2 linked regions of the Notamacropus eugenii genome follow. The protein of the gene in region 1 purifies or fractionates together with the protein of each later gene. This does not show direct contact. Links are inferred from orthologs where the notes say so. Each region holds a gene or a part of one and is shown on either strand. Other genes may lie near its edges.

Evidence for each region. The genes of interacting proteins can lie anywhere in the genome.
Region 2: the proteins of LMNA (region 1) and KPNA6 purify together in Homo sapiens (affinity purification with mass spectrometry; 4 studies listed by BioGRID and IntAct, with this or other methods). This does not show direct contact. The link is inferred for Notamacropus eugenii from reciprocal best matches to the Homo sapiens genes LMNA and KPNA6.

The regions. Positions count from the first base shown.
Region 1 is NC_092873.1:380,199,271-380,204,325, forward strand, and holds the start of LMNA (lamin), read left to right. Parts: upstream 1-1,900; 5' UTR 1,901-2,163; coding exon 2,164-2,519; intron 2,520-5,055.
Region 2 is NC_092876.1:77,691,373-77,696,427, reverse strand, and holds the start of KPNA6 (importin subunit alpha-7), read left to right. Parts: upstream 1-1,916; 5' UTR 1,917-2,016; coding exon 2,017-2,035; intron 2,036-5,055. UniProt on the Homo sapiens protein: Functions in nuclear protein import as an adapter protein for nuclear receptor KPNB1. Binds specifically and directly to substrates containing either a simple or bipartite NLS motif.

The DNA of each region.
Region 1 (5,055 bases):
TGGGGGGGGGGAGCAAGATGCCAAAGGGGAGGGTGGCTGAGGCAGCTGGGAACAGCATGAACCCCATCCTTCACGTTTCCCTGGCTCTCTTCCTCTCCCCCCTACAACCCTGCTCCTGGTTTGGGGAACAGAAGAGGGAGAACAGAGCTTTTGTTTTGTCGGGGAAGCTGATGGTGGTAGTAAAGTGCCACACCCTAGGAGGGGAGAGAATTGCTAGGGTGGGGAGCCAGGTTTATGGTTCCTTTAGTCTTAGGGATTGGGAGAGCCCATGGGATCCAAACGATGGAAGTCAAACGTTATGCTTCCCTGTCAGGAAACCACCCTCTCCACCTTGCTCTGTCTCACTAGTATTGGGACCCATGTGACCCAAGCCCCAGTTTCTTCCCATTCTTCTTGATGTCAACTTGTTCAGTCCAAAGTCCTATTTGTTCCTCAGATGCTACCTGGGTCCAGAACCCAAGCTTGAGAACCTAGGCACCTTCTTTCAACAGTTAGAGAATGTGAAACTGGAAAAGAGCAATGTAGCTCAATTTTCATGGCTCTTCTGGAGGAAAGGGGATTTGGAGAGGACATTAGAATAGGTGTACAGTCTGGCCCTTGATACCTGGCCCTGGAGGCTGTGGAGGATAAGGGTGGATAAAGGTAGGGAAACTACTCAGGGTGTATGGGTAATGGAATGGAACTAGATACCTGGATTTTGAGTAAGAGCAGAAGTCTGCCATAGCTGAGCCAGACAAGATTAGAAACTTCCAAGCCTAGCTTTTGTGAGAGCCCGAGGGAGTCTGCTCCAGAGCCACCTATTTAGGACTTATCAAGTGGGGGAACCTGAGTTTCACTTTTAGTTTCTGGAAAATCAGGGTCAGGACTGGGATTCCACAGTCCAGGCTTCCATTCCCTCTGCATCCCCCAGCTCCAATCCACTGCCCCCTCTCTGATGAGAATGGGGATAGGGATTCAGGCATCTGGACTCTTAGCCCAATGCTTGACTCCCCTCCTCCTGGCCCCTCCAAGAACCACAGGAATCTGGGACCCTGGTGTCCTGGCAACATGACGCACAGGCTCTGGGCGTCTGTTTTGAATTACTAGTTAAAAATAAGTCCTACAGTTAAAAACGGAGAGGGGCTGAAGGGGGGGAAGGGACCTCGGAATGTTCTTCCTCCCATCTTCTGGGCCCGATATCTGACAGTCTTGGTTCTTGTTTATGAACCTTGGGGAGATAGAAAGGATGGGATGCAGGTCCCTTGAGTCTTGTTCTCCAACCTGGGTTTGGGTTGGAGAGGCATGGGGTGGGGGTGGGAGGGAAGGATAAAGGTCAGAAAAATTCAGAACCTTAAGGTGGGTAGATGATTTGGATGTCTCAGGTATCCAGAGCTTGAGCCCCTCAACTGAATGCAGGCATCCCTTCCCCCACACTTGGTTTGCTCAAATCTTAGTTGCAGAATGGGCTGCCCAGATGTGGGCAGGAGGGGGTAAGGGGAGGGTGACTCATTGGTTACTATGGAAGGGAACCCATGGGGAGAAGTGGAGTGAGTCACTTTTTGGGTACCAGCCTACCCCGCCCCCACCTGCATGGGACCCCTTAACTATGTTTTCCCCCAACTTTACTACTTGGCCCCTATTTCTCCTTCCAGATACTCCTGATCCACCCTTTGCCCACTCCCACATTTTCACTCTTCTGTTCTTAGTCTTTTGGAAAGGGGTAAAGCCCTGGGCAGGCAGACAAGTTCCAGACCATAGAGACATCCATCAAAGTTACAATGTACACAAGAGCGCATGGGGGACAACACCATGAAGGGCCTGGACACCCCCCCTCCATTTCAACCTAAGGTCCTACTGCCTAAGAATTCGGTGCGCATGCTGCTGTTCCTTTAAGAATGTGGCCCCTCCCCTCTTCCCAGGCTTATTTGAGCCTTAGCTCCACAGCCCGGTGACTCAGACTCAGAGTGTCCAAGAGCGCCGCGTCTACACTGGGCGGCCTACTTACCCAAGAAGGGCTAAGATCAGAACTCCGGGAGGTCGCCCATCCGAGCTCCGAACCCTAGCGGGCACCTGTCTCCGAGAGGAGGCTCAGCTGCCCGACTTCTGCAAACCTTCCCTTCCCCGTCTTCAGGTCCTTAATCTTCAGGGACCCCCTGCCCCCAGGGCGCTGCCACCCTGCCTGCCATGGATACCCCGTCGCAGCGGCGTGCCACCCGGAGCGGGGCACCAGCGGGCTCCACCCCGCTGTCCCCGACTCGGATCACGCGGCTGCAGGAAAAGGAGGACTTGCAGGAGCTGAACGACCGGCTGGCTATCTACATCGATCGGGTCCGTTCGCTAGAGACGGAGAACGCGGGCCTTCGCCTCCGGATCACCGAGTCTGAGGAGGTGGTGAGCCGGGAGGTGTCCGGCATCAAGGCCGCCTACGAGGCCGAGCTCGGAGACGCCCGCAAGACCTTGGACTCCGTAGCCAAGGAGCGCGCCCGTCTGCAGCTGGAGCTGAGCAAAGTGCGGGAGGAGTTTAAAGAGCTCAAAGCTCGGTGAGTGGGCCCCGGTGTCAAGGAGCTCCGTTCGGCCCAGGGAAAGGGGATTCATTGGGAGGGTGGGGTGGCAGTGGTGGTGTCTGTAGCTCCCCAGAGCGAGGAAGCGGCAGGTGGCATAGCCTGGGGGTGGGGAGAGAGAAAATATCCATCCTTCCTTCTGGGAGGTCTTCTCAGGTAAGAGGGGTGGAAGGAACCCTAGGAAGGAACAATTTTGCCTGTTCCAGAGTTCCTAACCTCCTAGGTGGTTAGGCTGAGTCAAATGGCAGTTACATGTCAGGTCAGAAGAGCCTCTGAGTAGAGGAACTAGGAGAATTGGGTGCATTTGGAGGTGAGGTGGAAAGCAAGTCGGAGAATGCTACCAATAGACTCATATGTCACAGTGCCTGGGTCCCTGCCTGAGGAGCACTGGCTGAGTCCAGTTGGGACTTTGCCAGGCTCCTGAAGCCCCAAGGAGAAGATTGGGCAATGACCAACTGGAGCTAGCATTGCCCAGGCAGGAAGTCCTAGAGGTGTTGGGGTGGTTGAAAGGGTCCTGTCAAGTATTACCCTTGCATGAATTGGCACCACGCCTACCTTGCCCAGGCTGTCTCCATGCACGTGGTATACTAGTCAAGCATAGGCTTCCAAGCCTGGCACCATACCTAGCAATGCTTTTGTCGGGGTGGTAGGGAAGTTTGGAAGACTGCTGATTCCCCTTTCCCTAGTACATGGGGGCATGGAAACCTCCAGCCAATGGTGAGCACGGGCATTCTTGCCCTTCTTGGAAGGACTCTGCAAGGTCCCGTACCCCTCCCGCTCCCCCATTGCCTGGGTCTTTATTTATTTTTTTACAGTGACTAAGCAACAAAAAAAGTTCTAGCTCCCAGAATTTCCATATTCCTTGGCCTCTCTAGGATGGGAATAAAGAGAAAGGGGCTTGTGGCTAGAGATTCCAGTCTGGATTATGGTGCTCTGTGTCCTATCTTGGAGGAAAATCGGGAGGGTATTTACCCTGCAAACCTAGCACCCCCTGATCTTAGTGAGCGTTCAATCTTGAGTTGGCTCGAGTCCATCTTTCTTGCCTTCCTGGAGACCCCAGTCATTCTTTATGCCTGGGCTGGTCACTTTCATTTTCTGTGGTCAGGTTTGTGCAACTATGTCATCTGGTTCATCCCTTTCCTCTGACGTTTGTTCTTTGCTCATTAAAATGCTTGGAGATTATGACTTTTTTGAAAATCAACCGTTGTTAATCGGCAGCCTCCCCTGGGGCCCCTCCTACTCTCCTCCACCCCACCCCACTTAAAAAAAATGACTTTGGGGAGGATTGGTCTTCTTACCACAAGTCCTAAGGCATTTTTTATTTTAATGCTTGTATCTGCCTTTTCCTTAGTGAGACCAGTAAATATGTTTAGAGATTCCTCAGTAACTCTGGATTTGGGATCTTGCACTTTCTTAGCCATTTTCTCTAAAGTCTGTTTTTTTTCAAAAATCTGTTCCTCTCGAAATAATTTCCAGAGTATTTCTTGTGCCTTCCCACCTCCCACCTCCCCCTTTTTCTGTTAGATTTCATCGTACCCTTTCCCCTCCTTCAATCTTATTCCGCAACTGGCCCAGGAAGAACCCAAGTTAGTAGAGTGTGGAAAAAAAACACTAATTCTCCTCATGGCCTTGCTTAAATAATTTAACCCATTTTTTCCCCATGTGATCTGTTCAAGGCGAATGAGTCAAGAAGAAATATGTAAGAACTAGTTAATAGTCTTAAATGAGTTCCTTCTGGAAGGGAAGATTTTGGCTGCTATTCTTTTTGGAAAGAACAATGGGGTTAATAGAACTGTGTCCAAGGGTTGCTCGTTATTTTCTTGATTTTGAAACGTTGTTTGACTCTCCCTACTTTGCAGCTGTCCCATTGTGGCTTCTGGGACCAGTGTGGGGGGGTGGGAGGTGGGGGTAGAGACAGGGGTGTATCCTATGTATGTGTTATATTTAGCCAGCTGCCTCTATTCTCCCCCACAGATCCTGACTTGGGGTGGGGCTGGGCTTCCGGAGAAGGCTGGGTGCCCTGGGGCAGTGGGGATGAGGGTAAATTTCAAAGGAAAGTTGAAGGCTCTGAGTTGGGGTGACTGGGATAAAGGGTGCTTTCAGACCTTTTTTGTCCCCTTCTGCACACCCCAGGATAATAGAGAATTAAGGACAGCCCTCTTCTCATCCTCTCTGTTTGAAGGTAGCCACAGGAGGAGCCAGTCTTTCCCAACGCTTGCCCTCAGCGATACCTTCCCTTTAGTAGATTCTGGACCCCGAAGTCTAAGAACTCTTCATATTGCTAAGTGTGCAAAGCCAAGGCCCCCACTTAAAATATCTGTGACCCTCAGACCCTTCCTTTTTTTCCACTGAGTCAAATAGGATTCACCCTCTGAGTCTATGGAAAGTAGAATCAAAGTTAGAGGAGCTCCGGGTCTTAGATAGTCAGGATCAGTAGCTTAGGAAAATGTTAGGGGAAGGAAGGGGGATGGTGGACAGCTGTATTGGTGACTCACAGTTGCTGCCTTATTATATC
Region 2 (5,055 bases), on another chromosome or scaffold:
CATCTTCTCCAAGTGAAGCACGTCTACTTCCTTCAACAGACGCTCCTCATGTGGCCTGATTTTGAAGCCCTTTGCTGTCTGGGGTGTCATCCTCTTGATTCTCAATTATTTTTTTTCTTAAACGAGTGCCCAGAATTGAATGTAATATTCCAGATGACAGGGGAAAAGACAGCGAAATTCTTTGCTCCCTTATTGTGGACACTCTGCTCTAGCCCAAGATCTCATCAGCTTTGATCAAGTTACTATTTTATACTGTGTGGGATGGCTCAGGTCCCTACATAAATCAATTACTCAGAGGCCTCTCAAAGTGATGACAGAAAAGTGATTTATTCGATTCTCGAGAAGTGGGGTTCACCTGTAGGAGTAGGAAAGACAAAGAACAGGACAGTGATTTATATAGACCCTAACGCAAGTCCCTCCTCCCCCCACTGACCATTATCCTCATTAGCTGAGAATATGGTCTTACATTCTAGACACGAAATCTAACCAATCCCTTTTGAAATGAAGACATCGAGGAATTATGTAAGTTTTGTCCAGTCATTGAGACCCTAATACACTACACAGTTTTATATCCTTATATGGAACTATTCTATTCTAAAAATATTGTAACCTTGAGCCTTTAGGCCTTACCTCACCCCTGGGAGAAAAATTACAATCTGAGGAGTCTTCACTAAGTATCCCACTCAATACTGATGATTCATACTCAGTTTTCTGCCACCTAAATTCTCAGATCTTTTTCAGGTGACCTCTTTGATATACCCTCCCCTCCTGGTTTGTTGTTGTTCATTCATTTCAGTCATGTCTGACTCTATATGACCCCATTTGGGGTTTTCTTGGCAAAGATGCTGGAGTGGTTTCCATTTCCTTCTCCAGCTCATTTGACAGATGAGGAAACTGAGACAAACAGGGTTAAGTGACATGCCCAGGGTCACACAGCTGGTTAGTAAGTGTCAGAGACTAGATTTGAACTCAGGAAGATGAGTCTTGCTGACTCCACACCCAGCTATACGTGACCATTTAAAAATAGCTGGCTGGTTTTTTGTTTTTTTTTAATGTAAGGTCTTTGAAGACAATGGGCAGGTTTTTTTTCAAGAGAAATTTTTTTTTTGAATCATGATTCTTTAAAAAAAAAGATAATTCTCTGAGCCAAAAAAATAAATAATTTTAGTATATTTGGCCTATTGCTCTAACCCATCCAAGGTTTTTTTTTGGATCCTGACTTTGTCATCAAGTATGTTAACTCTCTTTCCCACCTTTGTGTCTGCAGATTTGTTGAGTGTTCCACCTTTGTCTCATCCAAATTATATCAGAATATAGGCTTCTTGAGGGCAAGAACTGTTTGCCTCTTTTAAATCCCTAGCACACTAAATCTAGTGCCTGGCACATAGTAAATGCTTGTTGGTTGATAGTAAACAGTACAAGAATGGAACATTCTGATAGAAACTTACTTCCAAATTGGTAACCCATCTGTTAATAACTACTTTGGGGAACACTCAGCCCAATCCAGATCCCTTGCCTATACTGTGGTGCAGACTATATTTCCCTGTCAACAAAGACTAGCTGGAGAATGTGATTTTCCCCTCCTCCCACCATTTTACAGCTAAAGAAACTGAGACATAGAGAAATGATGTAACTAATTTAAGGTCTTCTAGATAGCAGGTTCCTGAAGAGTGAAAAAAAGTGAATTTCTGCCACCAGCTTGAATCAAGGAGGCCTCCTTGGCCCATGGCATAGGCACAGACACAGATCTAAAAGGACCTTTCTGATAATGTTTCTTCCTTTGGACCTTGTTCTATGGTAAGGTAATGTTTTGATGTGAATTTGTCCTTAATAATCATTATAACTCCCCTTCCTCGGTCCTCCAGTGAAGTCATAAGCCAGTATTTGTGAGATATTCTCCCTGTTGCCATAGTGACAAAAATACAGTCATATAATCACCTTTTTTAGCTCCCCTTGTCAGCTCTGTGCCAAGGCAAGCAGAGGAACAACCACCCTGAGTAGATCTGGATCTCAGTCATGAAAAAGCAACTGTCAGGTAATGAAACTCAATAGGCAACACTGGCAGCCTTTTGTTACCTATCTGTACTGAATAATCATTAGTTACCTAGGAGTGTCCAGAGAGTGTCATCAAGCTTCCTTGCTTTTGTGCTAAGTTGACTTGCACTCTGCCCAGTGTGACTGTGAGCTGCTTGACACATTCTAAGAACTTGGAAGGAGGTCCCAGCCCAGCTTATCAGATAGCCGATCTTCACCTCTCCCCCAACACAGCCTTATTGGGTTTCAACAACTCATTGGAATGTCTTTCATGTCATTGTACTCCATTGACAAAATATCCTTCATTCCTATCTGCCCAATCTTTTCACTTTCTATTTTTAATCTCATAAATTCATTTTTAAATCCCTGAAGCCTTGAGACTGCCATAAAAGCCATAGAATTGCAGGACTCCAGAGCTAGAAGGTGCTAGCATTCTAGTCCAACCTGTAAAAGTTGAAAAGACTCCTCTAAAACATACTTAGAAGTAATAGTCCAGGATGGGAGGGAACCTACTCCCTCCAGACAATCCAGTCAGCATTTGGATAATTCTAACTGTAGGAAGCTTGTCTATGCAAACCAAGCCTAAACTTGCTTATGCACTTTTACCTTGCCCTCCATCCTTCCTTGCTCCTTCTTTTGTTCTTTGGAGCCAAGCGGAACCAGACTAATCCCTTTCCTGTGTGGCAGCCCCTCAGGTTCTTGGAGACAGCTATCATATCCCCCCACCAGGCCTTTTCTTCTCCTGGCTAGACATCCCCAGGACTCATTCTCCTCTCATAAGGTTTCATGGCCCTTCACCATTCTGATCCATATTTCTGGATAGTTTCTATCTTTTATCAGTTCCCTTCCTTAAATGCTGTACCTGTAGTAGTGATGGAAGTAGTAATAGCAGCGGTAGCAGCAGTTACTAGCACTTAATTGCACTTTGAATGTGGCAGGCATTGCCCTGAGCCTTTTACAAATATCTCCTTTAATCCTTGCAACAACCCTGGGAGGTTGGTGCTATTATTGTTATCATCCCCATTTTATAGTTCAGGAAACTTAAGACTGACAGAAGTGACTGACAGAAACCCCTGATTGGCTCTGAGTGAACGTAAATAGTGATTGTTTCTGTTTTGGTCAGAAACCCTGAGAGTCTTTTCCTCCCAGATTGATTTTTTTTTTTTTTAAAAACTAGGTAAAGAAGCCAATCTCTGCCTCATTTTTATTAGGCCTCAATCACTGAATGAGTATTGCCTCAGTCAAACTGAGACCTGTTAAAGACCTTAGCTTAAAAAGGCAAGATCTAAGGCAAGATCTCTCATTGCATCTTGGGCCCTATCCAGTTGTCCTGATTCATATCTGGCCACTGAACCCAGATAGCTTCAGAGGAGAAAGTGAGGCTGATGAAGCCCTCCCTTACTTAAATCCAACTCACTTGTATGTCATGGCATCACCCTCTTGAGAATGAAGGACAGACAACAGCCACCATAAGCATACTAATCCAACTGTGCAGTCTTTAGGGGCTACTGACTACCTTATCATACTATTGTAGAGTCATTGAATTTTCACTCCACTGAAACTCCCAGATTGCTGCTATCCTCCACCTTACCTGTACAAAGTTCATTGTTTGAACCTAAATATTAGACTCTACATATATCTCTCTTAAATTTCGTCTTAATTAGATGTGGCCCAGTGTTCCAACCTGTGAATTCCCTTTTGATCCTGACCTCCAAGGAGTTAGCTTTCCTTCTCAGCTAGCTTTGTGTCATCTTTAGATTCAGCAACCAACGACCTTTATTTAATTCACTGATAATAGATTTTTTTCATTTTCAGTATCAAATGAAGAATTTTTACATACATAATAAAATAGAAGGAGAAGGTTGCACATGAAAACTCGAGTTCTATTATTTACAGCCTTCTTTTTAATCAATATCAATAAATCATTGATAAAAAGGTCCAAGTACAAATTCCTGAGTTTCTCTGGTGGAGATCTTTCCAGTTAACAATGACCTATTAATGACTATTAGAACAAGGTTATGCCAAACTTTTGCATTCATCCTCTGTTGCCTGCCCTTGCATCTAACTGGTGTATATGTATTTTTGAAATTTTATTGTGGCTGATGAATTCCCTGTGTTATCCTTATTTGCCTTTTTTTTTTTAAGATAACTTCCTTTTTTTCTTATTGGAATTTTCCTTTCATGTCAGTACAGTTTCATCAAAAGTTTCTGATTTATCCACATAGTTTGCATAGGATAGAACCCCATGTGGGCAGTCTTCTGCTTCCTAGCTGCCTTTCACAGCACTGATTTGTATCCTTTACACAGGTTAGAGAATACCTAGAAAATACTGGTCTTTTGAGTCAGAAGACCAACTCCTATGCTTACATTCTCATAAGATTGGTGAAAGAAAAATACTTTGTAAACATTACACTGTATTATATATAAAATTCAAAGACTTGTTCCTGTGAAGCCCTTTATCTTGAGCTTTTCCGGATATTTCTTGAGTATATCTGTGTAGGAAGGGAGTTAATGTAGTGGTGAATTTGATGTCTGGGGACCTGAAATGGAATCCTAGCTCAGCTATTTACTGTCATTGTGGTATTGTATCACTGTGGTAAATAAAATCTCTAAGCCTCTTTCCTCACGTGTAAAATGAGCTCCAGATGCTGTGGTTCTATTAGTAGAGGCATCAATCATTCTCAATTCGTGGAAGATAGAATTTGATTTGGACTTTGAAAAATAAATAGGCAAAAGGAAAAAGGGAGGGCATTCTCAGTAAGAGGAAAAACATGAATGAAGACAGGCAAGAATAATGTTGGGATGTCTATGTAGGAGACTGTGCCCATTTGGCAGATGGGAAAACTGAACTATGATGCTCTTTGTTCAAGGACAAGCATGGAACTGAGGATGAGGTCTTGTGATTTCAGTTCCATGCCTTGAATTCTGGGTTTCTTTGTGGTCATTCATGAACATGAAATGACAGGGGATGACATTGTTTTGGTGGGAGGCATGTCCGTTGACCTGATAATTCCTATACAA